Struthio camelus: one gene and its partner. The protein of the gene in region 1 binds, or shares a complex with, the protein of each later gene. Links are inferred from orthologs where the notes say so. Each region holds a gene or a part of one and is shown on either strand. Other genes may lie near its edges.

Region 1 (14,544 bases):
GCAGGCTGGAGTGTGGCTGCAGGGACAGAGGGATCTCACCTCACGGGAAAGGATGTAAAGGAATGCAGCGTTTCAACAAATGTGAAATGACTTCCAAAAATGAGTGCAGAAAAGTGGAATGATTTAATTATTTCCACCCTCCAAACTTTTAGACCAACCTGCATGACAATAGCTTTCCTCTCTTAAATAATGAAGAGCAGGAAATCATTGCAAAGATGATAAGTCCATGCTTATTACTGCTCTCCAGGGGGAAACAAGCTTGTCTCCATGTCTACCCTTTCAAGACTCTCTTTCAAATATTAGAAACTAGAGCGTCTGCAAGCGCATTTGTACAGAGGAGCTTTAGATACTGCTCAAACAATATGGTGAGTGAGCATGGCCATCCAAGTCAAACGTGTTTGAATGTCCTTATCTGGAAAAGTTCAAACAGAGGCAAATCAAGTATGCTGGGAGAACTGGACGAGGGCTTCGGTGGAGTACGCATATACAGCCACGCCACAAATAGTCCTGGCGGGTTCGTTTCAAAGGTATTGTGCTTGTTATTAATTCCTTTGTGACCTGCTGGGCTGCAGACCCTCTGCGAGCAAATGCTCTCAGCGGGATTCTTCTCGCAGACGTTTTATAGCTACCCTGGACCATTTCTGCTGGTTTGGGAGGCTTCCAACAGTACTAACCCAAAGCAAATTGATTGTGAACGGTTACTACCCTGTGCAGTGGCTGAGATGAACGATTTTCAAAGGCTCTGTAAATTCAAACATATTTGCCTAAATCATTCACTGGGTAGTGAACAAAGTCATAAAAGCTGACGCCTGCTTGGGGGCAATTTGCCAACCCAAGAGAAACTAAGTTAGTCGAATATAGTGTTCTCTCCAGCCCAGTTTTCTTGATATTGCAGCAGTGGATTTAGGGAAGGAAAAATGAGGTTTTGCTATTATGTCGATAACCATGCTAATGCTTTTAAAGCTAAATATATCTCAGCTGGCAGCTGCAAGGGGATAGAGGATGCTTCAGCACTCTGCAGCCTAAACCACAGGTTAGCATTTCCGTGCGCTCCTGGGAGCTCTGCGAGTGCCTGACGGCTCCGGCTCCGGAGACCCACGTGGTATGACCCTGGCTGGTCCCCGAGCGGCTGCCTGCTGCCCTGGGAAGCGCTGCTGCCGTCCGCTGCGGCTGCGGTGCCCTGAGGGCTCTGCCTGCGCTTGGCTCGCCAGGGTCGGCCTCGCACCCCGCTCTGCCTTGCCAGGGCACGGCTCATGCTGGCTCCTCTCGCCCCGGCCCGAACGCACTGCAGCCGGGCCCCTGCACCCAGATGAACGACAGCAAAAGCAGGGCCTGGGGCATTATCACCTGGGGCGAAGGTGACACAGGAGCGCACACTTGTTAGGTGACTTATGAGCAAATCAAAAATGCTGCAGGACAAAACACAGGATGGGGCCCTCGGTGAGCAACGGGGGAAAGCCCCAGGAGGAAGACTCGTCCCAGGCTTGGACAGCATGCTCCCATTCACCAGAAATACAGTCCTTGCCCTGGTACCAAAGTGGAAGCTACTTACTTGCCAGCAGCATAGACTTCTGCTGTATCAAACAGATTAATGCCATTGTCATACGCTAAAGTCATCAGCTGCTCTGCCATCTGCAAAGAGAAATCTGTGATGTTGGTAGAGAAGAGGACGTCTAACAGAGAGCAGGGGCAGAGCACTGCGGTGCCATGCTCGCTCATACTGGTGACCCGAAACATGCCGCATGCCGAGTGCTGTCCATGGAGTTGGATCTGAGACCGGCCTCTAAACGTGCAGCTTGATTTTAGAGCTTGATTTAGAAAGCCCCAAATTGCCAAACAAGCAGCCTTGGCCGATCAGTTATGTGCTTACCTTTAGAAAGCCAGGCTTGGAAACGCCAGCCTCTGTGTCCAGGCACGAGGCACACAGGCGTACAGTACAGCAAAACTTTCAGGGTATGTTTGGTGACGTAAGGAAGACAGCAGCTTTGAAGGAGAAAAACCCAAACTCACGCAGCAATGTGATTTTTTTCTCTTTCTCCTCCTGCTTTCACAGTCCCAGGCTCAGAAAAATGATTTATATGGGATTAATTTGAACTCAAGCTGACATTTGATAGCTCAGGAGAAACACGGTGTCAGGTGTCTTGCTGAACAACTGACTGTGCTGAAAGGAGCGCAGGAGGGATCCTGAACTGCTGTGCTAATCGGAATTACAGATGGAGAGCAAACCTGAAGCCTGTTACTAAGGGCGGGTGAGACCTTGTGCGTCTTCTGCCTCACAGAGAATGGACTCATGCAAAACCGGACGGCTCACAGGAGATGCATGCTCTCAAACACATGTGTGACGGAGCGAGCCGGGCCGCTTTCCCTACCGCTCGCTGGGAACAGAAGTGCCGGTTACCTCCAGCTACGTTCAGCCCGGTATATGTTTAAATCACTTCAGAAGTGACAAACAGTTTTGGCAGGTCAGTGTTCAGCAAAGGCAACGCTGAACTCAGTAGCACTGACCCCGGGGCGGTCTCAGCAAGGCCGGGCCGAGGGCTCGCACGCCCTGGTACGACTAAGCGAGGAAAACAATGCACTGCAAGTCCTGACTGCCCCTAGCTGGAACAGAAATCTGGAGAACAATTTCCTCCTTTCTTGGCTGCAAAGTGCTTGGTGACCGCTTTACTATGCCCCGAGCAGACAGTAAAGATAAATGCGTTATGGTAACTGCTATGAAACCATGCAAAAGAGGACAGTCTCCAAAGCTGCTTTTTAAAACAAATGTTGAGAAATTAAAGGAAAGGTCAACCTGCGGAGTAACACGATGCGAAGGGAGCAATACTTACCTCGTCTGTAATCTGACCTCCGAAAGTCACCCATGTCCCTGTGAAGGAGAAAAAGGGCACAGAGCTGGACAAGGGCAGCACGAGACCCAGGTCGAGCTCTGCTGCAGCCAGCAGCCTCGCTCCGCGAAGGGGCGCCCGCGGGAGGCCCATACCGGCCGGCACTGGGCGCCCGCCGCCCAGTGGGACCCGCTCCCCGCGCCGGCCCGCTGCAGGGTTATCGCAGCACGGCCCCGGCTCCAAATACAGCACGCCAGAAAGCAGCTCTGCCAAATACTCCTAATTTCACCTTCTATTATGTCGAGGAGCGGGGGGAAAAGAGGAAACAATTTGACAACTTCTGGGCCGTTTCTCAAAATTATCACCAGCCCAGAAGAAAATCCTTTTTATCTTCTGCAGAATGCTTGATAACATTTCAGTCAGAGAAAGAGATTGTCACCACTGACAGTTTCATAATTGTAAATCATTTTTTTTAAGTAAGTGGCTTGCTTACAATGGATGAAAACCTGTCTAGGTGTTTAATCCTGCACAGTGCAAGTTCCTAGATAGATTTTCAAGTCAGAGGCCAGGCCAGTCTTTGAGGGCACTATCCACACCGCTGTCCTGAGCAGAGAGGAGTGTTCAGGGTGAAGCAGAAATTTTTGCTTAGAATTAGTTACTGTGCGCAAGGAAACACCAGGCTGACAGCTGATGCATGCTTTCTCTGACGCCCAGAACGAGCAAGCTCTGCACGCGCTGAGGTGGCACAGCCCGCCGCCTCTCCCTCCCGTCACGGCGGCTGCGTCTCCCTCGAACGGCAGGAGCCGGGGCAAGGCGAGGAGCAGGCGCCTGTCTCGGCCGCTTGAGAAAGCCACCGGACGGAGCAGATGCTAAAGGGCCGCGGAGAAGCCGGTCACTTACCCAGGCCAAGGCAGGACACTCGCAGCCCAGATTTCCCAAGATTTCTGAAAGACAGAAGCCCATCTGAATAGCAGCCGGGAGTGCTCGAGACAGCGTCTAGGTGTCAGCATGCACGCGAGCGGGCAGGCGCCTGGCGCAGGGCTGGCTGCGGTCCCGGCCCCGTGCTGGCCACTGCACTGCCGCGGGCCCGCCGCTGCGGTCCTGGCGCGGGGCAGGGCACCCCGGGCACGCGCCCAGGGCACCTGCGGACGCTGCTCGCGTTTCCGCGCTGCCTCGGCGCCGGGCGGCTAACCGGAGCAAAAAAGCAAAGCAGAAACGAACCCCCCCCGCAAACCGGGAAGGCAAGAAATGAACATGCCAGAGAGCTGCGGTAAGGATGGAGAGAGAGAAACATGGCACAAAACCACGAGTACTCTGGATTTAGATGCTATAGCAGAAGTGACCATAGGAAGGGAGGACCAAGAAGATTCAGGTTATGTCTCTAAACCCCATATTGTGCCTAAACAATTGAGGCATTTATTTTCAAATAGGAAAAGAAGAGCGAAGAAAGGAGAAATAGCTGAGCGCAACTGAGGCCACCAAGCGCGAACGCAGGCTTGCTGCTTCACTCCTGCACCGAGGCAAAGCTGCCTGACGCTGTCACCAACCAGAAGGCAGAAGGGGGAAAACAAAAGAAAGGGAAAGTAGATGCTGCTTCTTAGAGAGCCAGTTACTGTTGGCTGAACACGGGCACACCGACAGAAACTGGCTAACCTCACAAGAGCCTATCTGCCGAGCAAGCGCAGAGGGGACCGACCAGCCTCTTAACACAGTTTTTACAGTGCCTGCTTCCCTGTACCTCTAAGGTAAGGGCGCGCGGCACAGGCACAGGCTGCGGGCCGCCGGGGCGGCCCCGCGCGCACCGCGCGCCCCGCACGGTAATTTGCTGTGGCAGCAGCCGGTGACCTCATTAAATCTGCTTTATATGATTAGGTCAGAAGTACTACACTGTTCGGCTATTTTCTGACAGCAGCTTTACAACGCTGGTGCTAGCACTAAAACCGACAGCGCACAGCGCGTATCCAGGCGAGACGGGAATAATCACGGGGGAAAACAGTAATGCCCAGGAACGCCTCCGCCGGCAGGACAGGCTGCGTGCAGAAGAGGGCGGCGCACGCGCGTTCGGTGCCCCACGCGGAGGGCCGCGAGCAGAGCCCTCTCCAAGGGCTTACCCGGCCCAGCAGCAGCCGGCTCTGCCCGACGCAGCGGCCCCAGACCCCGCCGAGCGCAAGGGGAGGAAGAGGGCGACGCGGGCGGCCGACGGCGGTCAGGTGCTCTGTGCAGCCCCAGACATTGCCCTGCTACTGACCCCAGCGGCTCGGACACCCTTCGATCCGGCCGAGACCAGGAGCCAACAACCTGCGCCTGACAGCGCAGCAACTGGGGCGACTCACGTGCGAAGCGAGTTGTGCCCGTTCTCAACGGAGCTCTGCTCTGGGGCAGCCCGCTCCCAGCCCGGCACGGACACGCACCGCCGAGCCCCACGCTCTGCGTCGGGCTCGGACACAGCCCTGGGGACCTGCCCAGTGCTCTCCAGGTGCTGCTAATGGTGCACCTGCACCGCAGAGCAGCTCGCGAGCAGAAAAATCCCTTGAGAGCGGAGCAGTTGGCCAAGAAAAATGAAGCGCCCTGTAAAATAATTAAAATGAAGCTGGCGCACAGAGCTAGAGAATATTCTTTTGGGAACGAGTCCAGCCTGGCAGATGTCCTTTCCGCCTTTGCCACAGTGATTGATAGCGAGTTTGAAAAATCACAAAGGTTCGAACAACAAGCATGAAAATACATAAAGTGTAGGTGAGCTGCTGCAGCCGCCCGCGCGCGCGGCTCGGCACAGCGTGGCGTCGCATAGCAACTGCAAGGCGGCTCTGCTCGCGGTCCTCCGCGCGGGGCACTGCCGCCCGGCTCCCGCGGGGCGCGCGCCCCTCGCGGCCCTCCCCAGCTTCAGGCCTCTCGACGCTTGCCGAGGTGAAGGCCGACCCTTCCAGCAAGGCCAGTGTACCGCAGGCCAGTGGAGGTCTTGCTCTCCGATGAGTATTGAGAGGGATTAGCGCAGGGAGAAGGAGCTGAGCGGGAGAGTGTCCATGCAAAGTCTGCTCTGGTGGAACGCGGCCATCGAGCAGAACCGCCAGCGCCGCCCAGGCCCCTCCGGAGCAGGGCAGGCGGGCCGGGCGCAGGGGTCGGGGCGGCCCGGGGACGCCTCGGCGCAGGGCGACCCACCGCGCTTCGCTCGGCGACGCCTTGGGCGCCTCGCTGCGCGCTGGCCGGCAAGGGCTGCGGGCGACACAGCCGACGGCGACGGAGCCAGCCCAGGCGCGGGGCTGCTTGGCAAGGGGCAGGAGAAAAACGCTCTGCCCTTCCGGATGAGAACGGGGCTGCGGGCACGGGCGCTGCCTCGGAAGCACTCTGTCTGAGCACCGCCTGTTCCCCCTTTAGCAAAGCGGCCTGCCTTGCGGGGGGCCGCGCCGGTGCGCTGCGAGCCCTCGCTGCAGGCCCCCGAGGCCCGCGCGCCCCGAAGCCCTCCCGCGCGGCGCGAGCAAGGCAGCGGGACCCTCCCTCGAGAGGGACAAGGCAAATCCGAGCCCGATGAGACGCCGGCAGAGGACTGCCAGGAAGAAAAGGCCTGAGTTATTTAATTTGAAAGATGACAGTGGGTGATAGCTGATCTCATTCCAGCAATCTGCCTGCCTGATACATTTTGCATCCCGATACTGTTTACATCTTGCCTTAAGTGGGAACAGGCAGCGGCTATTAGCTGTAACATGGCATACGTGCTAATCTATTTGGGGAAAAACCCTCAGTCCCCCGCCTTGGCATCGCTCTGCTGCAATGCCATGGAAGCGGGCACATTAACCCAGCGTGTGCTGGCCGTGCCACCGTGTGCACACGGCGTTTTCAAATGCACAGTGCAGAGACAGCAAGCGAATACTGGCTCGTGTTATACTGCACGTGGACCGGGGCTCCACGCAGCCCGGGAGCGCGATGAAACCATCGATGCTGCTCCAGGCCGTGAACCACTGCGCGTTGCAGACCTCCCCCGGAGGCCACAGCCTGCCCGCTCACAACAGGCTAGCAAAGCCACAGGGGTTTTACTAAATCCTAAGCCAAATGTCAGGGTCACGTTTTTTCTCACATTCTACGGGTTTTATGTTACGCTGGACGGAAACAAGAACGCTACTCGGAACTGCAGGGAAAGGAGAAAAAGAGCCACCTGGAAGGCATGCAGCAGCGCAGAAGGGTGACCACGGAGGACGGATCGGCACCTGTGGCACCAGAAACCCGCACGCCAGCAAGCCAGCGGGGAAGCACCACACGCCTCCCCCCGCAGCGTACACACCGCAGCGAGGAAGGCAAAATGCATCCGAGGAAGAAGTAAATCTCCGAATGAAGAGCACGTTCTTCTCCTACCTATATTTCATCCCCGGCTGCTTCACGCTGGAGTCACTGGACGACGGGGCATTTTGCACCGAGAGCTGCCCCAGGCTCCGGGCAACCATGGCCACAGCTCGAAATTTGCTGCGCGTGCCGAGGCTGGGACTGCTGGCATTTTGTCTGTTCAGGCGGTCTTCTGCACTCCGGCTCTTTATACTGTGCTCAGAGCACACAAAAGAAACCTGCATGGTGCTCGCGCTGTATCTGGGCTGCCAAGACGCCCTCCCTCTTTAACACTCAGCCGCGCTCTACTTCACAGCCCAACGCTGCTTCTCCCTGCAAGCGCCGCAAAATGTCAAAGGTGAAAAATAATTGGCAGTGTGTTCCCCCAGGAAACTTGAAAATTTCAAAGCAAAAGCCAAGAAACGAGCAGGAGATGTTGCTCCTCTGGTTTCAGCCTTCTCTTTGGATGTGCAGGGCCGCACCGGCAGTCGCCCGTCCGAGGGTTAAAAAGCAAACTTCAGTTTATTTACTTCCCGGCTGGAATTTGCATGCTGTCCTTTGCTTCCTTTCCCCCATCCTTGACAGCGCAGCCTGACTGGTCTCTGCAGCAGCTCCACAAAGTTTCGCAGATGCTATTGGAGGAATTTTGCCGCCCCTGAGCCCAAAGAAACGATTCACCGGACTGTGTTTCTGCTGAAGCGGCAAGTTCCCCCCCGCGGCGGCAGGAGTCCCGGGCAGGCCGGCCGCGCAGCGCCCCGCGGGCCGGCGGCGCTGCCCTCGGCGGCCTCGCGTCGCCCGCCGCTAGCTGCGCCGCAGGGGGCCCGGCGCCGCGGGCGAGTGGCCGCGCCGGCCAGCCTGCCGAGCCCCGACGGCCGCGGGTGGCGGGGCCGGCCCCCGGCGCTCCCTCTTCCCTCTCTCCTCTTCGCTCCTTCCACTCGCGCGGCTGAAGATACAGCGAGGAATAATGACAACAGCCTAAATTTAGCCGGCAGCCGCTCTGAAGCAGGGACCTCCTCCCCGAATGTCTGTAAAGCTTCACTTACCCAACATGACTGCTGCGGCGCTAGAAGAAGAGGACCCAGCTTATATCATCAGCTTCACGCCATCAATATTTGATGAGCGTTAGGACGCAAATAAACAGTGTCACGCCAAGAGGAGTAGCAGCAATATGACCACTTCCAAGAGGGGAGGGAAGGGCTCCACGTTGGGAACCCTCACATTTCCCTTCGCTTCCACAGCAAGCGCCTCCTTTGTGCAAGGCAGCTGGAAAATCCCCGTATTTATTTGCCTCTAACTTGTCTTTCCAAATCTGCCCTCCAACGAGAGGTGCTGACGGCGGTGGACTTGCAGCCGGGACGAGGCGCGAGGTCTGCTCGCGCGGCGGTGGGCAGCGCAGGGCTGCGTGCAGCCGCCCCGCAGCGCAGAAGCGTAACCCTGGGACATGCCCCAGTACTCCCGCTGCAGCCTGGGGCAGCGGCCTGTTTTGTGAAACCAAACTAGACGGCACCACTTTGTGATGTGACTTGAGTGAGAGAGCTACATTGGCTAAGGAGAAACCAAATTCCAACTTCTCCTATTTAAAAAATGACACAAACTCATTTTTCTAATTGACTACTTTGTGATTTGAGGCATAACATCTGAACGCTTGGTTACACGCTCTAAAGATTTTCCAAGTCCCTGTTCTGCCCCCCGGCCCAGAATTTCTGCCGGAGCAGCTGCCCGCCCTCGCTGCCGTCCTTGCAAGGAGCACATGTGCAGCGCTGCCTCTCAGTAAAGAAAGCAGCTTCAGCGGTCAGGAAATAATTGTTTGATCAACCACACAGAAAAGGAAATACCACAACAGCATCAGGCTGAATTGCCGGTGTAATGGTATACATTGATTCCTAAAGCAGCATTACAAAAGAAAAATTAGTTGGTGTTGCTGGGGGGATGTGGGGGGGGGGAAATTACATAAATTCGGTCACAGACGAAATGAAAAAACTTGTAATCTACTCATGTTTCCTTCTGCCCCAAAGCTCCTTAGTGCCTGCGGCGGAGCTCGGTAATCCCGCTCAGTTCCTGCGGCCCCGCTGCAGGCTCCAGCTCTTCCGCAAGCGCTTTGCCCACTCCTGAAGGCAGCAAGGAAACCCAGCAGTGTGCTGTGGCCGCGGAGGGCCACGTTTCCAGGCTCGGCTCGGCTCGGCTCGGGGTCCCCAGCTGAGGGCCAGCTCTTCTCATGGCACGGGACACAGCACATACTGGCGCTCTCAAAAGGCAGAATTTCTCCCTGAAAAGGTATTCCTGTTTGGCTCTTTCTCTCCCTCCTCGCCTCCAGCCCATCCATCCCCGGCAGCTCTTCAGGGAGCAGCACGACAGGGGCAGCCTGGCAGGGCACCGGAGGGCGAAAACGGGGTCAGGCATTTTTGCAGCCGCCGCTCCTGATGCACCCGCGCGCATTCAAGGAGCAGGAAAGATCCCCTGCCCCAGCCAGACGCCAGCAGCGAGCACTCATCTGCCTGCAACCTTTCCGTGTTTGCAGAGAAAAGCAGGGAAAACATCCCTGATCCCAGATTAAAGTTCCTTGCAGAAGGTTTCAGCTGAAGCCCCCAACCAAAAGAAAAGCCGCAATTTTGCAGTAATAGACTCAGCGGTCCAAATCCTTTTCTGGATTACAGCACTGCGAGCCCATAGCAACACGGCTCAAGGGAACAGCACGACAGCGCCGTAAATCCCCACGGGGGGATGTGGGGAGAGCGGCACGTTCAGCACTGTGCCCTTCACCCCCTTGGCACGAAACGCTCGCGGCACCGCCGCAGCAGGCAGCAGAGGGGGCGGCAGCGCCCGGCAGAGAGCGTGCCTGCGAGCCGGCCCACGGCCCCCGAGCCGCCGCGGGCCCGGGCAGCATGTCCCGCGTTCGAGGCTCCGGGCGAGCCTGGGACACGCTGGGCTGCTCTGCAGGCCAACCACCTACCTGATCTTTCTGGTCAGCTTCAAGAATTACCTATTACCACCACATCAGGTTTTGCATACAGTGATGCTTTGTTAGAGAAACAAGCCAAATTCTGCCTTTTTCCATCAGTGTGTCATTACCGAGCGAGACGGGAGCGCAGGCCGACGCGGAGAGGCTGTGACGCGGGTCGGAGCAAGCTGGCGCGGTGCCGAATTTGCAGAGCCCCCCCCTCCCCAGTCTCAGCTCACCCAGCGAAAACCCACTGCCCCGAGGAGGCTTAGTGCTTCCCTCGGCGCGGGCTAAGCCGCGGCACAACGCGGGGGGATTTTCACAGCGTCAAGCCGCTCGGTGACGTCCTCCCCCGCGCGAGCGAGGCAGCTTTCGGAGGAAGGCTGTGCCTCTGTGCGCCGCCGGCACAAAGCCGAGAGGTGCCGCGCGGCGAGCGCTCGCGGCTCCGTCAGCCGGGAGGGCAGGTCGCGGCGCCTCTCTCCTCCCGTGCCCGGCAGCCCCGGTCGCTGCCGCGCTGAATGTTTCACTGAAGGAATATCTTCGATAGTGCACGTACAAGCCTCGCCCCATGAATAAATAACTGCCCCATGAATATCAAATGGGCTATTGTGACTGCGGAAATGTTACCTCCGTTTATTTTTAGAGAAGAAAACACATGGGAGCCCGACCTGCTGCGTGGGCGACTGAGGAAAGCCAGGAAGCAGGCAGAGCCCCGCAACAGGGTGCACGCAGCGGGGTGCACGCAGGGAGAGCCCCGCGGTGGGGTGTACACCGTGCACCCCTTCAGCCACACCACCCTGACAGCACCTAGCCACAGGGCTCGCAAGCCAAGGCTGCTCCCAATATCACCCACTCTAACAAAGATGTAGTAATTAAAAGAACAAAAGTCAGCTGAAATATTTACATGCCTCTCACTACACCACGTTCTGGACCAGCATGCAAAATTAATGGAGCACCAGCTGGCTTCATGCTTGGAGACGGTTTTCCGGCTCAACATGGTATTTTCTCAGCTTGCTTTCCCTCCCGTGTGTCGGCGTTTACTCTTCCAGCCAACTGCAAAGCAGGGAGAGGGCGCAGAGCATTCAATGCACATGGCAAAATCCCCCAGCAAAGTCTTTTAAAATCAGGCCTTTCAAGGTGACGCTGAGAGGTGTTTGAAACCTGAGCTGAGCAACGCGCACGAGAGCAGAAGCTCCTACGGGCAGCCGCGGTCAGGGAGAGGCGGGCAGGCGCCGAGGGCGGGCGGCCCTGCGCCGGGGCCTCAGCACGGAGGGGGCCCAGCTTGACAACTGCCGCAGCAGCCTGAAACATTCCCGGTTTAAGAGTGTAGAAAAGCTGCTCGGGTGGGCAGGTGAGTGCACTGACATAAGCCAGCCTGGAAGATGTAACCATCAGCATATCTGCCCCACAGCAGGGCTCTCCGCTTATCCTTACGCTTCTAAAAGCCAACCTTACTCAGCCTCCCAGGGCGGTGAGCCGCAGATGGCCAGTCACACCTGACGCTCCAGGAGACGCACAAAAAACAGTAAAAAGCCTTTCAGACCAGGCCTAAAGTGGTGCAATATTTTCCCCCATATACTCTGCATACAAAGAACTTCAGTCAAGAGTTGATTGCGCTCTCTCTGATGACTAGATGGATAAAGTATTTTTGTAGCTGTTTAACTATTTTATCGTTAGAAAGGTGAGAGTGTATTATATTTGCACTTGCAAACTTCCTAATAACACTACAACAAACAAAAAGTTTAAAGAATTTAATCAATAAAAGTGATATAAGCATGTTGATTTATTCTAGCCACTTACATGTGCACAAAAAGAGAAAGAATATTCTCCCTTCAGTGGCCTCGAAAAGATTTTATCGTACTCAAGAAGAAAAAAATGCTCTTGGACACTTCACCTGTGCAGCACCAGTAAGTCATATGCAAAAAGGAGAGCTAAACAGAAAGGCACAGTAAGCTGAAGGATCCCGCCGATGCCCTGCAAGTTGCATCGACTCCTTTGCTGTTCGCTTTGTGAGATTTTGATGCCAACAGTTTTAGTTCATTCTGACCCCAACATGTCATAGCAAAAAAGCAAAATCCTCCATCCAGTCTGTCCTTTCTCCAGCTTAGGTATAAACACCTAACGGTCTCCGGCATCCCAGGAGCCTCGAGACGCCTCCGCACGAGGGGACGCCAGCACTTCTGAGCTACCAAAACACAGGTGCTCTAGGGATTTACGTGCCTTCACGCTTTGTTCAACATGTTAAATATCACGGGCAGGGCGCGTTTGCCCTTTTATAACGATTCTGGCACTAGCTTTTTGATGCCCCCCCAGCTTGAAAAGCGTCTGAGCTGCTGCTTTCCGCGGGCGCGCGGCGGGAGCCGGGGGAAGGCGGTCTCTTACCTATACTTCATGCCCGTCAGGCGGGCTGTGCAGTCGTCCAGCGACAGCCCGTGCGCTCGCAGGAACTCTTCCATGGTCTTGGCCTGCGCCGCCAGGCGCACGTCCCGCAGCCGCCGCAGCTCCCCCACGTCGGCGTGGCGGGCCTGCTGCAGGCCCCAGTCCGAGTGGTGCCTGCTCACCACGCTGCGCAGGCTCTCGCTGTACGTCATGGACAGCATCCTGCTGCCCGACCGCGGGACCTGCGGACGGCCCCGATGGCAAACGCTCAGGGGAGCTGGCGACAGCCCTGTGCCCTCCGGGAGCTGCAACGCGGTGCCTGCGAAAACCCCTGACTTCCTACAGAGGACACAAATGCTCAACGCTCTCGGGCCCAAGCACGCAAGGAAGCTAGCCGGGTCACTGCTTCGGCACACGGCCTCGCCTCAGCACCCCGAGGACGCTGCCCCGGCGCACGACCTGACCTTGCAGAGAGACTAGCGAGGACCTACTGGCAGGCCTGCCGTGGGAAAACTGCAGGAGCAAAAGACCCCGAAGATAAATGGCAACACAACGTACTTAAGCAGAACGAAAGAAGTCAGAGAAAAGCCAAAGAGCAACAAGAGCGGAGCACAGAATACAGCAGCAGGGAACAGAGGAGTTAGTTACTGCCGGGACTGAAACTTGGGCTTACACTGACAGACAGCTGAAACTACGGGAGGCATTGGCACAAGGCCGGCACGCTCCGATGCGCCGACTCCCTGAGAGACTCTCGGCACTCTGCCCCAGAGCCACCGCGAGGCTTCCCACTGCCTGCCTGGGAGAAGAGGGTCTCCTGTGGCACGGGGGCACCGACTCGCCCCGACCACACCAGCTCTGCCTGCAAGGCACAGGCACGCCGGCGGTGGGCCCCAGCAGCTCTGCCTGGCCGCGCCGGGTCGGCCCGGAGCCCGGCCGAGCCGCGGCCGCAGCCCGGCCACGCGCTGGCTCCAGCCTGCAACTGGGCTGCTCAGATTGCGTTACGGCTCCTCTGCCTGGCACCCCTGATCTGCGAGGCTCGGCTGCCTCCTGGCTTGCACGGAGCTGGCTGCAGTCGGTTTGCATTTTCTTACTGAATCAAGAGCAAAGGGCACAAGGGTGGCTCAGCTGGGAACTGGCTGGCTTCGAGCAAGCAGCTGGAGGCAGGAGGAGCCCTGCTTGGCCAAGCCTCTGCCGGGGCTGTGCGCTCTGCCTCGTGCCCCGGGGGCCGCGCACCCAGGGACACCGTCACCCGTGGGTGCTGGCAGCACCCGCCATGTGAGCGCTGCAGCAGGCCGCTGGGGAGCGCGCAGCGAGCGGGCCGCCCGTGTGGTCGCCGGCCACGTCCCGGGAGAAGGCTGGCGTTCGTGCAGCAGACTGCTGCAATCCATGCAGCGAGCCAACCCTCGCCGCAGCGGCGCATGGCACCGAACCACGGCATCGACTTTCCAGCTGGTGCGGGCAGCTGAAAATAGCCTGCTGCAGAGCGAGCTGCCGGGAACGGCTGGAGACAAACCCCTGCTCTGTGGCGACGGGCTGGACTTCCGTGGGCGCTGGGTGCCTGGAAGAAAGGGCATTAGCTTTCCTCTGCTGCTCTGCAACATCCGCTGCTCCTAGCGTCTGCAAAGGGACAGGGGACCTAGGCCCAAGACACGGATTGTGCCCAGGCAGCTCTGGCGTCTGCGGCCCCTTGGCTTTGGGGGAGCGCCTCCTCCGCCTCGGGGACGCCGTGGGGACGCCAGCCGGCCCGTGGCCTGGAGAGCACCGGCCCCAGCGCCGCGGGCCTCGGGGCGCAGCACGGCTTCGTCGGGCTCGCCGGCACTGCGGCAGGGCTGCACCCTCGCTGCCCGTCCTCAGCGCGGCGCCAGCATCACCAACCCCCACCGCAAAGCGCTGCTGCCGCTCGAGCTTTTTGGTTTGGGGACTTCTGTGCCCTGCGAAACATGTAGCTATCAGAAGCTCAATTTTATGGTAGTTTGACTGAAAAGCAAAGTGCACTTTTCCATCAAAATGAGACCTCAAAAAAAAAAGGAAGAAGAAAAATCAATAGACATTAACTTACAAGAAATTACTGAAAACCCCCAAGGAATTCTG
Region 2 (14,544 bases), on another chromosome or scaffold:
ATGTGGCTCTTCTCCAACGATGTCGAAGACGCGCGGCTTATGGTAGTCGTACCCCACTTGAATACGGTGTACTGCCAACGCCTCGTGCCTCGTTGTTGGCTCCAGGTGACACATATCTCTAATACGATGTTCACTGAACTGGCAAAGGAAAAACTATAAAAAGATTTGGAGGGCTGGGGAAGGCGGAGGGACGAGATCCAAGAGACAAAACCCAGGCGGAAAGGCCTTGCCTGCTTTCCAGGCAGAGCGGTGTCTATCACGGAGATGGTGTGCTCTGGAGAGACAGCTCGGTGCCCTCGATAAATCTCCTCCGTGCTCAGCTCACGCTGAGCTAGTTGCTAGCAGCCTAGCGGTTAGGGCAAAGAGGGGTTGAGGCAGGCATCCGTCCCCGCTACCCAGCACCCGTGCCAGGAAAAATCAATCAGCTTCTGGGAGCCCGTTTATTTATGCAAAGCTAAACAATGGGAAAAGCGCGAAGAGCGTATGCTCTGAAAATATATATCTGCCTTGAAGCCTCTACAAGGACGTTTGGTGGCACAGCTGCGACTTGCAGGTTCTCCAGTTATTTCGAGGCAAAGGAAAATCCCAAGGTTGGAGCCGTCTGCGCAGCCAAAGGGAGTCAGGTACCAACTCACTCTGAAAATTCAACCTGAACTACTGCTGTGAAGGGACTGATCCTGCACCAATTCCCAGTGAATATCCTTAATTCCCTCTGAAAATGCAGCCTAAAATACTGTTGTGAAGAGTCTGTGTTTTAGGGCAAACTCTTCCACAGCCCGAGGGGCTCCCAACTACATTAACTTAGACAGAGAGGAATTGCTGGGTTTGGTTATCGGAGGGGCTCAGCGACCGCAGTTTTGGCTGCCGTCAGATGCCATTGCGACTCGCTTGGCTTTCATAGGCTGTAAATGCTCCGTCTTGCCCTGCGCTGGCCTGCTGGATGAGGGCGAATGTCATCAAACCGAAACAAGTGACATCTGTAGAATAAATAATTCAACGGGCGAGCATTCACCCCTCGCCGGCGCGACGCGCTCCCTTCAGTGGCAAGCACGACGAGTGACTGCCGCTGCCCGAAATTTGGGCTTTCGAGCCTTTACGCTGAAAGCGGATCCGTCCTGGGACTCGGCGCTGATGCCGCGGCTGCGCCCTGCTGCTAAGGGTCCCCGAAGAGCAGCCTCGGCGCCGGCCTTTGCCGTCGCTCACTTTCCCGGTAATCGCACCGTAACGCGGTCGTCGTACCCTCGCGTGGATGTTTTTAACCATCGTAATGAAAACACGGTGCCATTGCCATGCTGTCTCAGTGGATTTGTGGTTAAATTGCTTTGTCGATGTAATCTTATCTCTTAATGACAAAATAATGGCGTGCAACAGGAGCTGCGGAGGCTGCGCTGGATATCCTTTTGCCGTCATTGTGAAGGCCTGCGAACATGATCCCCATTACGGCAAAATTTGCATTAACATTGTTTGGCCAACATAATCCCACCCGGTAATCGCATTTTTTAGGGCATTAAAATAGGTCTAACTATATCCTGAGCTGTAACCCCTGGGCTCCCAAAGAGTCGGCTGGGATTTGGCCAGGACAGCTCTATTAAAGCCAACGGAGTCCCCGTTTGGCTGATGTCTTTTAGCCACCAAATCTTGTTCTTCAGTAGCAAAATGATACTCACTGGCTAAGTCCGCAGTGTCGCGGCAAAAAAAATAACATGAAAAATAGCTGCTGTCCATGCTCTGCTATTTCAGGTTAGCGGTTCGATTCCCACTTCCCTCCATCTGTTAAAAATAATGACTGCTCTCTAAAGACCTGCTGCCTTCGTTAGCCGGATTGCAGCAGTAGGAGACGAGCGTGGCGTGCTCCGGGCCCCGTTGTGCTTGGTGCCCTGAAGAGAGGCGTTCGTTATCCTTACGGAGCCTGCAGCAACGGTCCTCACCTGCGCTGACTCGCAAGCAACCAGCTTTATTTGGGCAGCACTGCATTTTGCTCCCTATTATTCAAAATTTCAGCATCTTTCTCGTTTTCTCAACTCAGGAGCGCAGCTAAGAGCCTCTGGTGAAAGATTTAAGTAGACCATAGGCAGGAGGCAAGGATTGCTCCTAATTTGCAGATGAGAAACTGAGGCACGGACGGATTCACGGACTCGCGCTACCACTGAGTTTCGCAGCTGGTGATTAAGGCAGGAACAGGAAGAGGGGCAGTGTGGTTCAGCGGTCAGAGCGCTACATTAATCCCGGGAGATGGAGATCGGGTTCCCTTGCTCTCCTGCTGCCTCGAGGGCACCGGTGGAGTTGGTTAGGGCAGAATTTGTCTTAGCCTCCGAATACGCAGAGCAAAAAAGTGGCCGAGACAGTGCAGGAGCGTTGCCACCTCCTGCCTGCCTGGGGGAGAAGGGGAGGACAGCAGAACGGGGCATCTGCAGACAGAGGTAGCCTTGGGTGACTTATTCCCCGGTTGCAGAGCAAATAATCATAAAAATTTGGGATAATCTGACTGAGAGGAACCAGCCGAAGGTTACAGTGAGGGCAAGCAGGTCGGAAAGCAGGTTGGAAAGCCAAACCTAGGCTTTGCCTAGGCTGTGATTAGTGAAAACCCGATTGAGGGAAGGACACGAGGAACCTCGGGAGCGAGTTCACGCGGTCTTGCTGCAGCAGCTGGCGCTTGGCACGTTCCCTGCGGTGGGAGGGGAGAGGACGCGTTTGCAGCGCGTCAAGATGCTGTTGCTGCAGCCTTACTGCTGAGAGGTTGCCGATCCTCGGAAATAAAGACCAGCCCGTTTGTCCCAGGTTTATCAATGGAGACGGGCTCCTCATTCAAGGGCGAGAGAGCAGAGAGCCCTCCAGCAGCCCTGTGCAGGGAGCTCCCGCTCACACCACCCGCCAGGCTGGGGCTGCCGGCAGGGGAAGGGGGGGTGTTTCTTCACCCCGGGGTGCTGCAGGTCCGCGCGGGAGCTCGGCAAGCGCTCCGCCTGGCGCAGCCTAATTGGCTTTGATGGGATTACGGTGAGGCGGCCGCAGAGTAAATAAGGCCAAGGAGGCCAAGCGGCGCCTGGGGTGGCCGGGCCAAAGCCCCCGGAGAAATCCCTTGACGGGGAAGGTTGGGGAGTGGGGCAACGCCAGGCGCTCGAGGGTTAATGCGTGTTTGGGTTGCGGGTGATGGAGGAAAGGGTTGTACCCTGCTCCCGGTTTTTGGAGAAGGGCTTTTCCTAGCAGCGCTCTCCGGATGGCTTTGCTGGCACCAATTTCCCCCGGGTTTACCCCGACGGAGATCCAGAATAAACTGTTGCAATTATGGAAGGTTGCCTCAAGCCTTTTGTCATCGATAAATGTTTATGGTATGAAAGCAGCCTTGTTTGTTTGCCTTAGACCAGATGACAGTGATTTATTGGCAGAAATCCTGGCAGAGGAAAGGGATGAGCCAGACAAGTCTTGAAGTGCTACACACATGTACGCGGTGCGCAGCTGATGGCTGTTTCATGCTCACGAAACGCGCAGGAAATAGCTCCTCGCGCTGGGATGCCAGCAGTCGTTTCGAGGAATTTTCCTGGCTTTCCTAACCTACAAGCAACGCCGGTAGCTCAAGGGTTAATGATCAGCCCAGGCTGTGCTTCCTGCCCTGTCCGGGGGCTGGGAAACTTGGGAGATGCTCCGGGTTGAAAGGGAGGAGTGCTTGCTCTCGCTGGGAGCACATCCCGGATTTGCGCTATTAATTGCGGTAGCAGAGACGGGGTGAGCGGATGGGGATCTGTTGGCCCAGCTGTCTCCTCCAAGGCCAGCTTGCAGCCTCGGATGAAACGGGCCTCCATGGATGGGGTTTAAAGCCAAGGATGGAGGTGACAACAAGGGACATGCATCAAACTCCATGGCAAGGTGCACGTCCCCGTGCAAGCAGGATCGCAGGGGACCGTCTTCGCAGGGGAGCCTGCAATTTTCCTGGTGGTGTAAAAAATTGCCATGCTGGGCATGCTGTCCGGAAAGAGCACCAGGGATGATTTTGGGAGATGCAACCGCCACGGGCGGCTTAGCCAAAGGCTCTGCTTGGCCTCGGCGCCGCGTGGGAGGCCCACCTTGTCAGCGGGACCCCCTCGGTGTGCCTAATTCCTGGGAAACCTGACGGGTGGGCGCTGATGCCTTGGGACAAAGGGTTTTTTTCCCCGCGTCGGCTCTGCCAGCGTCGGTCCGGCGTTCCCGCGCCCGGTGCGGAGCCAGCTCTGGCGGCGCTGTTTAGTGTTGATTTTCCCCCGTGCTTGGCTTCTTTTATGGCTTTGTATATTTTGTGCAGCTTGTTGCTAATTTAAAGCATAAATAAGTTTGATCTTTTCATCTGTTTCTCTCCCTACCTTCTGGAGGCTGTTCTAGTTAAAAATAACCGCGGTAATAAGCCGGAGTGGGGCTCCAATCTGCCGGAGCGCTTCTAACCTCCTTCGCAGCGGGACCACCCGGGCGACGCAGGGAAGGCGGCGCGGTCGGACCTCTCACACCTCCCTGAGCCTCGTGGCCGGGCTTCTTCCCGAGCGGGTAATTCCCTGAATTGCCCAAGCCCTGTTTGGCACGTGCCTTGGGATTAGAGGGCTTTGGGAGAGCGAGGGGTGGGTTGGGGAGAGCTCTGGGGGCAAATCTCACGGGGCCGGAGCGTTTGCACGAGCCGTGCTGGGTGCTGGTCGCCGCGGTGGAGGCTTTTCCCTTTAAAAAAAAAAAAAACCCTTTCATCAAAATTGATCGATTTGCATAAGATCAGTTCAAGGAGGTGGTGGGGGGGGGAATGAAAAGCCGTTTGGCTGGCTCGGGGAGGGGGGGGGGAAACGCTGAAAGGCAGATCTGCGTTTCAGACTGCGACTGCCTTCAGCTGCGATCCGACTGCGCTTCGCTCCTCCGCTTGTTTGGCTGCGGGGAGGCACAGGCACACACGCGCACACACACGCACGCTCTGTCTCAACCTCTCTCCTATGCAAAAAAAAAAAAGAAAAGAAAAGAAAAGAAAAGAAAATCCCTCCGACTGTAGCTGAAATGCTGATTCAAAACAACTGTTGGCTGCTCTCTGAGGCGCTGTCTCTGCTTCCCGTTAGCCGCAGCCGCGTCCCCGAAACGGTGACCCGCAGCGGACAGGCAGAGCCGAAGCGCCGGCGTTAAAAAATAAAAAAATAAATCACATTTTGGCTTTCCCCCCGGGGTGGGGGGGGGGGAAAGCAGGAAAACTCCTTCTAGGCAGCGCCGCTGCCAGGAAAAAACTCTTCCCCCCGCGCGACCGGCGGCCGCGGAGGGGAGACGCGGGGGCCGGGGGGCCGGGGGGGCCGGGGGGCCGCGGCCGGCCGGGGCGCGCTGCTGGGGGTGGCTCCGGCGAGCGAGGCGGCGCCAGGGCTGGGGGCGGATTTTTTGAGAGGAGCCTCCGCTGCTCAGAGCGGCAGCGGGCGCCGGAGGAGTCGGGCGGTTGCTTCTCCCTCTCCGCCCGCAGGAGGACGAGGAGGAGGAGGAGGAGGAGGAAGAAGAAGAGGCGCCGCCGCCGCCTCCTTCCTTCCTTCCTTCCCCTCCGTCCTGCCCGACCCCTTCTCCCCCACCTTTATGGACGAGCGCCTGAGCTTGCTCCGCTCTCCGGCTGCCTCCTCGGCCGGCCGGCCCCCGCGGGGCAGCGCCGCCAGCAGCCACCGCAACCTGGGCTACAGCGAGCAGCCGCCCGCCGCCCGGCAAGAGGAGGACGAGGGCGAGGAGGCGGAGGAAGGCAGCATGACGGTGGTGGTGGCGGGGGGCGGCGGCGACCCCTTGCCGGAGGAGCCGCAGCATCCTCACCCTCTGCTCGGCGGCGACCGCTACGACCAGCCGCCGCCGCCGCCGGGCGCCGCCGCCGCCGCCGGGCACCCCGCCGCGGGCGGCGAGCACGAGTGCTGCGAGCGGGTGGTGATCAACATCTCGGGCTTGCGTTTCGAGACCCAGCTCAAGACGCTGGCGCAGTTCCCCGAGACGCTGCTGGGCGACCCGCGCAAGCGCATGCGCTACTTCGACCCGCTCCGCAACGAGTACTTCTTCGACCGCAACCGGCCCAGCTTCGACGCCATCCTCTACTACTACCAGTCGGGCGGGCGCATCCGGCGGCCCGTCAACGTCCCCATCGACATCTTCTCCGAGGAGATCCGCTTCTACCAGCTGGGGGAGGAGGCCATGGAGAAGTTTCGGGAGGACGAGGGCTTCATTCGGGAGGAGCAGAGGCCGCTGCCCGACAAGGAGTTCCAGCGCCAAGTGTGGCTCCTCTTCGAGTACCCGGAGAGCTCTGGGCCGGCCCGAGGCATCGCCATAGTCTCTGTCCTGGTCATCCTCATCTCTATCGTCATCTTCTGTCTGGAGACCCTGCCTGAGTTCAGGGATGATCACGACTATGAGGGAACCGGGGGGACCTTTGGGACGGGTGGTGGCCCTTTCCCACCTGATGTCTTCACCAATTCCTCGTCCTCGGCTGCTTCCATGGTGTCGTCCTTCACCGACCCTTTCTTTGTGGTGGAGACTTTGTGCATCATCTGGTTCTCTTTTGAGCTGCTCGTCCGCTTCTTCGCCTGCCCCAGCAAGGCCACCTTCTCCAAGAACATCATGAACATCATTGACATTGTGGCCATCATTCCCTACTTCATCACGCTGGGCACCGAGCTGGCCGAGAGGCAAGGGAACGGCCAGCAAGCCATGTCCTTAGCCATCCTTAGAGTCATCCGCCTAGTCAGGGTCTTCCGCATCTTCAAGCTCTCCCGGCACTCCAAGGGGCTGCAGATCCTGGGGCAGACCCTCAAGGCCAGCATGCGGGAGCTGGGTTTACTCATCTTCTTCCTCTTCATTGGCGTCATCCTCTTCTCCAGCGCCGTCTACTTCGCAGAGGCCGATGACCCCAGTTCGGGTTTCAGTAGCATCCCCGACGCCTTCTGGTGGGCAGTGGTGACCATGACCACAGTGGGCTATGGGGACATGCACCCCATCACGATCGGGGGCAAGATTGTGGGGTCTCTCTGTGCCATCGCGGGGGTGCTAACCATTGCTCTCCCTGTGCCTGTCATCGTCTCCAATTTCAACTATTTCTACCACCGGGAGACCGAAGGTGAGGAGCAAGCCCAGTACATGCACGTCGGCAGCTGCCAGCACCTCTCGTCCACCGAGGAAATGAGGAAGGCTCGCAGCAATTCCACCCTCAGCAAGTCGGAGTACATGGTGATAGAAGAAGGGGGCATCAACCACAGTGCATTCAAACAGGCTACCTTTAAGACAGGCAACTGCACAACCACAAACAATCCCAACTGTGTGAACATCAAAAAGATCTTTACGGACGTTTAAAAACAAAACAGAACAAACAAACAAACAAACAAACAAAACCCTGAGGCTGCGTTGCAAAACAACAACAATAATAATGCAAAATGACTGTGTACTCAGTGTTGTGTGGAACATGCACCATCGTCGGTCCGTGTGTGCCCTTGGTTTTATACGTTTCCTTTTTTTTTAGATTGTTCCTTTCTATCGATCATAAAAAGGAGGATTTAAAATGCTCCGAAGAAAAGAGGACGGGTAAAGGGTAAAGGCGAGGAAGACGAAGGCAAAACACACTCACCCTGGAAACAGGTGTTTGTTCTGCAACGTGTGGCAGGGCTGCTTTTGTTTTCTCCTTTCTGGGGACGTCTTGCTTGGCTTCTGTTTTGTTTTGTTTTGTTTTGTTTTTGTCCTCCCCCTTCCCTAAAGGCAGTGTGTAGCTGTTTTCCCTTCCATCACATAAGCTCACTTGTTGGATTAGCAACCGCGAGTTGGGTGGGGAGACGAGAAAAACATGTTGCGGAGCTCGTTGGAAGGAGATGGGGGTTGGGAGGAAAACGACCGCTTAATTTTGCAAAGAGTCTCTGTTACCACATTGTTAAATGATGCTTAATATCGAAACATGTGGTGTGCCATTAGGGGCGCATCCCAGATTCCCTTTTCTCCCCTTCTAGATCTTTTTTGAAATTCTAATCTGGCCGGAGAGCGAGTGTAATCACTTCTGATTTAAACAGCACGAAGAAACAAAAAAAAAATTCCTCATTTTCTATTCCTAACTCCCTTCCCCTGCAACCCTACGGGATTATTGCATCCGACAGAAAATTGCTGTCCGCCCGGCGAGCGTGAGCACGGGGCAGGGGGAGACGAAAGCGCAAGATTTAACGCTCGCGGCGAGAGCCCGGGGCGCGGGGAGCGGTGCCGGCGCGGAGCCGGGGCTGGCGGCGGCGGCGGCGCGCTCGGCACCCGAACCCGCGGGAGATTTCCGCCCGGCTGCGATGCAGTCGCGGGAGCGGCGGCCGCTTCATCGCCAGGAGATAAAAGCGGCCGACGGCGCCTTGCAGCGGAAGTTGCTAATTCGGACCGGAGTGATGCAGTTGCCATGGCGACCCCGGTTTCCTGGGAAACCCCCGAAGGTTGTCATGGCATCCCGGCTGCCAGCCCCCTCGGCGGGTGCCCTTCCCGCAGCCGCCCTTCCAGACGCTTCCAGCTCCCGCGGGACGGCCGCGACGCCGGCGCGGAGCGGGTGCCGGCCCGAGGCGGGCGCTCCGCACCCGTTGCCCGGCCCGCCGACCGTCCCGCTCGGTCCACGTCCCCCGCCGCATCCGTTTGTAGGCAATAAGCACGCCAAAAGTCCACCTCGCCCCGGCCGCCCCGGCGACGCGATTTGGGAAGCGGCGTCTCTCGATGCAAACGCAAGCGCCCGCCGAGCCCGAGCGGCCGACCCACGTGCGAGCGCGAGCGGCGCCGAGCCGGGGATTGCCGCCCAGCGACGCCAACCTCTCCAAACCGCGGGGGAAACCCACGCAGCCGTAAAGAGCAGCATTGCAAAGTGCCCCAAACCCCGCCGGGGGAAACCATGCCCGCTTCATCCTTCCTTACGCGCCCGGGGCCGCGGGACGTCAGACAGGAGCAGGTGAGCTTCGCCCGCGGCGCTTAACGCCTCCTAAGGTACCATTGCTTTTTTGGGACGGACCTGATGTCTTGCCCAGTTTTGCATCCGACCGGGCTGCCCTCATGTATTTATGCGCCTGTTGGGTGGAGTGCAACAACACCCTATGTCTCCTCTGATTAACCGGCTTTTCCCCCCCTCGCCGTCGCTCGCTCCGGGCGGGCAGAAGGGGCGGCAAAGCCGCGCGGCTCTTGGCAGCCCCGTTTTCTTCCGCTGAAAAGGTTGCTGGCGGCGTTTCCGCCGCGAGCAGGGCCGACCGGTGCTCGCGGCGCGGGCTGGGGAGGCAGGGCCCCGCGCCGCGGGTGCTCGGGCGCCGCGCACCTCTCCGGCTCGGCGCGCCTTTGCCCTTGCTCTGCGGTTTCTCGCTAAGTGCAAACAGATTCCTTCGCTGTAGCGAACCGCGCGGGAACGCCGGGAGATGCCTCTTCCAACAAAAGAGCAACTAGACTCGTAACCGAGGTGAGTCACACGTTTAGCCGAGCGTGCAGAAAGGGAGGATTTGTCCCGGGGAGATCCTGGCCGCGCGGAAATCAGAGCTGAGCCGGGATTTTAGCCAGACTTAAAAGGATCAGAGCAATTCGTAACATGTAACGCTCGCCCTTAGCCTCGTCTTAGCCCCGCTGTCTTGCTCAGTTAATAAAAAAAAAAAACCCTTATAACCGAGCAAAACACCGGGGCAGCTCCTCAGCTAACGGTATCTGACAGCTTTATTGGAGCTGCAGTAGTTTACAGAGGCTGAAGATCTGATCGAATAATCTTTATTAGTTGGATGTGCTGGAGCTTTGCCACGGCGGGAGCTAGCAGGCAGCTCGCATCTCCCGGGCAGCCTTTTCCAGGGTGGCAAAGGTGGGACCCGCAGCCGGGAGACCTTTTCCGAATAACCTCCCGGCGGGTTTTCACCCGCGCCGGCCTGGCTGGGTTGTCCCGCCGTGCCTCTCGCCCCGCTTCTGCCCGTCCTGGCGGAGGCTGCGATGCTTTTGCCCGCCACGAGCTCTCGCTTCTGTATTGTTACCAAAGAGTTGACGCACCAGGCTGGTTTGGGTTTAAAAGCAGTGGAAACACTCTCCCACTCAGGAGGGTTCGCAGATGAGTTTTGCATCTGATTTTTCCCGGCGACAGCTGTACGTATGGCAGGGCTGGTATGGAAACCGCGCGTTAGCGTGTAGGTGGCATAGTACAGTCTGCAGCTCGCTGAGCCGTGCGGACACGTGCCCGGCTGCTCCTTCGCTTTCAGGGCTCCCCCTTGCCTGATTTTGAGTGCCGGACGGGACAGAAATGACTCAAGACTGGTTTTATTCACAAGGAAAAGTAGCGTACGGGAGAGACGGCGAGGAAGGCAGCGCAGCAAAAGGCCGTTTCTCGAGCCGCTCTGTCCTTAGGAGCAGCCCGCGAGCGGGGCGGCTGCGCCCGCGGCTTTGCCTTGGAGCGGGCCAGCGGCGCTCAGCCAAGCTCCTGCCTGACCTTCTCCGATCGCGATCCGAAACGGAGCGGCAGCTGGCGTTGCTTCCCCGCCTGGCGCCGCCGCCGTGCCCTCCGAAACCTCCTCCTCGTCCTCCTCCTCCTCCTCTTCCTCCTCCTCGTCATCCTCATCTTCCTCCTCCTCCTCCTCCTCCTCCTCCTCGTGGTGCCTCTGTCCTCCACCCGCCTCCTCTGCCAAGACCAAGCGACGCCGGCTCCGGCACCGCTGCGACGCCCTTCGGCTTGCCGCCTTGACGCCATCACTTTTTCAGCCCTTTTTTTGGCCTTTCGGTCCAAAACACTCCCGTTTTGCAGCCCAGTGAGCGCCGTTGGGGTGCCGTCCGACCGTGGGTGCAGACGCGAGTGCGGGCCGGGGGGATGCCCGCTGCCTCCAGGAGGGTCACGTTTCCTCCCGGGCAGTCACTGCTGCTCCATCACTTGACAAAGGAAATCTTTCTCTTATCCTCATTTTTTTCCCCAAATCCGGTGCCGCCGAGGCCCTGAGCTGCGGGCTACGGAGCGTCTTTCCAGCGCCGGGGAAGGGACTCTTGCAGCGGGCGAGCGCGCTTAGAGAAATCGGTTCAAGCGTGTAGTTTGGAGCCCTCTTCCTGCCAAGCTTTTAAAATATGCATATCTTTGGGTGAGCGCACGGAGGCTCTGAGCCCAGCCTGCTTGGAGACCAGGCTTTTTTTTCCCCCCCGCCCCGTTTTGCCTTTTTTTTTTTTTTTCCCAAACAAAAAACTAGGTGGCTTGCAGACCCGCGAGTAAAACCAGACAAATAGGATTTCAGCGGGATGACTGCATCGGGCCTTAGGTCTCGTGCTGCGCACGGAGAAGGGGAGCCGCCTAGGCAGCCCTCGCGCAAAGCCAGCGCAGGCGGAAAACAGGACTTTTCCGGGTGTTATCGGCTCTTTGTGCTGCCGCGGGGCCGGCGCTGCTCTTCCGCGCCGTTCCCCGCTCCGGGGCTGCTTGGGAGTCCGGCGCGGGGATGTGGCCGGCTGGCTGATCCCGTCGGGCTCGGTCGTGCGGCTGGAGGATGTGTTACAGGCAGGTAGCCAGGCTGCTGCTGCGTTTCCCAGTTTTCCCTAGTTTTCCCTAGTTTCACGTATATGCTGGAGGCTGCTCGAGCGCGGGGGACCCCGAAGGCAGCCGGATTGTCCCGGCCCGGGAATCGCTGCCCGGGCAGAGCGGGCAGATATCGTAGGAGGTTTCTTAGCTTCGTTTTGGGGCTTTTCCCAGCTGGAAATGGGTGAGCTGATGTGAGACGAGTTGTCAAGTTCTCAGAGCATCGTCCGGGGCCGTCCGGGAAACGATCTAACGGGGAAGAAACCCCAAAGTAACGCTCCCGCAGCGACGGGGCAGCCCGGGGCTGCTCGCGGCTCTCGGGCGGGCTGGAGGAGCCGGCGCGGTCCGCAGCGGCCGTCGGCCCCCCAGGGCTGCCCGTCCGCCCCTCCGGGACCGGGGCAACCACCCGGCTGGACCCGCCGGCCCCAAACCCGCGTGCGGGGCCAAGAGAAACCTGTGCCAGCCGGAGGGAGGATGCTTCATGGCGATTTATAGCTCTCCTGGGGCAAAAAAAGGACTGGCGTTAGGGCAGAGGAAACGGCGCAGATATACAGGCAGAGATATTGTTTAACATCGGCCAAGCGAGCTCACTGCCCAGGCGCAGAAGCGCCTGCCCGCGGCGCCTGGCTCGGCTCCAGCCGGGGCCATCGCGCCACATTTGCTGCTCTGAACCCTGCCGGCCTTGCTGCGGTCGAGCCCGGGACACAATCGAGACCTTTTACACCCGATCTTGGCTTCCCAAGCAGGAAAACGAATAATGAAAGCGATATTCATCCCACCGAACCGGGGGGCGCGTGTCTGCTGGTTTGCACTTTGGAAGGCATCGGCGCTGCAGCGCCTCTGTTATTTGTCACCGGGCTAAAGCAACTCGCATTTTTTGCTCATGAGAACTTTCCTCCCGGCGGAAGAAGGATGCACCCGAAGCCGTTTCATCACCGCCGCTGGAGCGCGAGGCGAAACCGCCGTGCAGAACGCTCCGCGGAAACCCTGCGGGAACTGCACCGCCGCCGCGTTTGCTCCGTCCGGCCTTTGAGGAAACGCGGCTCTGACGCCCGCGGGTCGTGGCAGTCCCTCTGCCTCTTATCGTTTTCACCGCCGAGGAGGCCTTGCAGTAGGACGGCGCGTGACCGTCCCCTCCAGGCAGCATCGGTTTCCTCCTTTTTCCGAATCGGGACACGCTCGAGCAAATTAAAACCTGGCTCGTAGTGCTGCGAGCCGAAGCTTCGGCGTCCCCCTGGTTGGGAGCAGCTAAAATCCTACCTATTACTGCTCTTCCCCTTTTCATAGCTCAAATAATCTCTCCCCAACCGTGTTGCGCGCTACTGTTAAGACCTCTAGGTTAGCCGTGCAGATGACAGCATGCTCTGCTGGGTTTCTGGGGGTGATTCATTTCCTTTGGCCTCGTATTGCAGGTGCTTTTCTGAGCAGCGACAAGCTCTGGCACGTCTGCTGCTTTTCTACATTGGTTGCCCTTAATTTTTAGCATCTTTGCACACACGGGAAGGCCCCGGGTTGGACGCGCAGCTCTGACAACCGGCAAAAGCCAGCAGCTAGCTTCTGCCTTGCTGTCAGGGAGCGTTAGTCCGTTTAGTTTTCCTTTGACGCTGTCCAGCCCCAGCTGCTTCGGACAGATACGGAAAATCCTTTCGGGTTGTGTCATGGTTCGATCGGCAGCGGAAGCAGGGGAGGCTGAGCCGCGCGCCGGCAGCGGGGCTCCTTGCGGCTCCTTGCGGCCCCGGGGGGCTGGCGCTCGCGAGAGCCCGGAGGTTGCAGCGGAGCACAGCAAGGACGGCCGCGCGTTCTGCAAAAGCATCCTGCCAAGATGCTTTTTTTTTTCCTGCCGGGGAGGGGGAAAAAAAAAAAAAAAGCAGAAAAATATATATTTGCTGTTTCCTTGTCGGTAGCAAAAACCGAGCTGAACGCGCTGGGGCGTAGCGGGTTGATTCTTGCGCAGGGGGATTCTTGCCACCGGCCCGTGAAAACAGGCAACTTTGCAGCACGGTGACTTTGGGAGATGCCGGCGAGGAACTGCAGCCTCTCCCGCCGGCTCTGTGTTTCGTTGTAGCCAACGGCGCTTCCCGGCGCATCCCGTCACTGCCGACCGACCCCACCGTCCCAGCGTCGGGGCCGGCGTGGAGCGTGGATCGGGAACGAAAGCGCGGCCGAACCGGCCTGCCAGCCCGTGAAAGCAAGCTGATGGATCCGCGTTTGTAGTTATTTTCGGCGATCTCTCAATCATCTGCTTTCCTGGCATTTCATGCGCCCTGTATTGGCTTTAGGGTTTCGTTTTCCAAACGAAAGTGTCACGCGAGGCCAATTCTTACAAGAGGTTATTGCATAAGCACTTCCCTTTAGCAGCCAAACTTGGAATGCAGTAAGAAGAGATCCCAAGTTAACGTGATAGGAGTACGATAAGATGCATTTCCCCTAAACCCGTGCTGACTGGCAGCAATTACATCTTCGTGGTTAGTTCTGTATTAGCAGTCTCAGCCGTGCTAGCATATTTTTTGGGATCAGGGACAGGCGGACAGGCCCGTCCTTTTGCAGGTCGCCCTGTTTATTGCTTAAAAACTTGGCGCAGCGGGAGCTGTTTTCCAGCCCCCTGGAATTCCAGCCGTTCCGGGACTTAAGGGACGGTCAAGATTAACAGCCGGGCGCGCGGCTCCGCCAGCTCTGCACTCATGCATTTGGCCGGTTTCGAGACGTCTCGCGGTGGTGGCTGCTGGTTAATGTCCTCTGCTTCTGCTGGAACGGAGGGAATTTCCTCCGGGAACACAGCTGGAGCCTTTCAGCAACCGGAGCAGCAATAGCTGTTGAACGCATCTGTTTTTTTTGCCCTGCTGCTTGGTGAATTCAGGGAGCTAATGGCATCGGGACAGTTTGAGGATTTGGGTTTTCTTCCCCTTTACCAGCGCAGTGATACGCAGCTTCCGAAAACGGCATTGGGGACCCAAAAGCACCGGAGGCTGGTTTGGAAACGCTGCTCCAGGCTGGTGCGGATGCGGCCGGATGCTCCGGCTCGTGGATTTGCCTGCGCCCCGTGCGTTAGCTGGCGTTGCATTCGCAGAGCCCGCGCGCTGCCCTTG

The links.
Region 2: the proteins of voltage-gated potassium channel subunit beta-2 (region 1) and KCNA3 are in contact, whole or in part, in a cryo-EM structure (PDB 7EJ2), measured with the Homo sapiens proteins. The link is inferred for Struthio camelus from reciprocal best matches to the Homo sapiens genes KCNAB2 and KCNA3. Residues at the interface, in NP_001186789.1 of Homo sapiens: Met196, Tyr199, Ser200, Arg203, Glu231, His234, Lys235, Ile236; in NP_002223.3 of Homo sapiens: Pro133, Met137, Phe140, Pro142, Leu143, Asn145, Tyr147.

What each region holds. Positions count from the first base shown.
Region 1 is NC_090962.1:971,625-986,168, forward strand, and holds the start of voltage-gated potassium channel subunit beta-2, read right to left. Parts: upstream 7,925-14,544; 5' UTR 7,382-7,924; coding exon 7,170-7,381; intron 3,770-7,169; coding exon 3,726-3,769; intron 2,867-3,725; coding exon 2,829-2,866; intron 1,633-2,828; coding exon 1,553-1,632; intron 1-1,552.
Region 2 is NC_090965.1:4,560,801-4,575,344, reverse strand, and holds the start of KCNA3 (potassium voltage-gated channel subfamily A member 3), read left to right. Parts: upstream 1-5,391; 5' UTR 5,392-5,550; coding exon 5,551-7,296; 3' UTR 7,297-8,899; intron 8,900-14,544.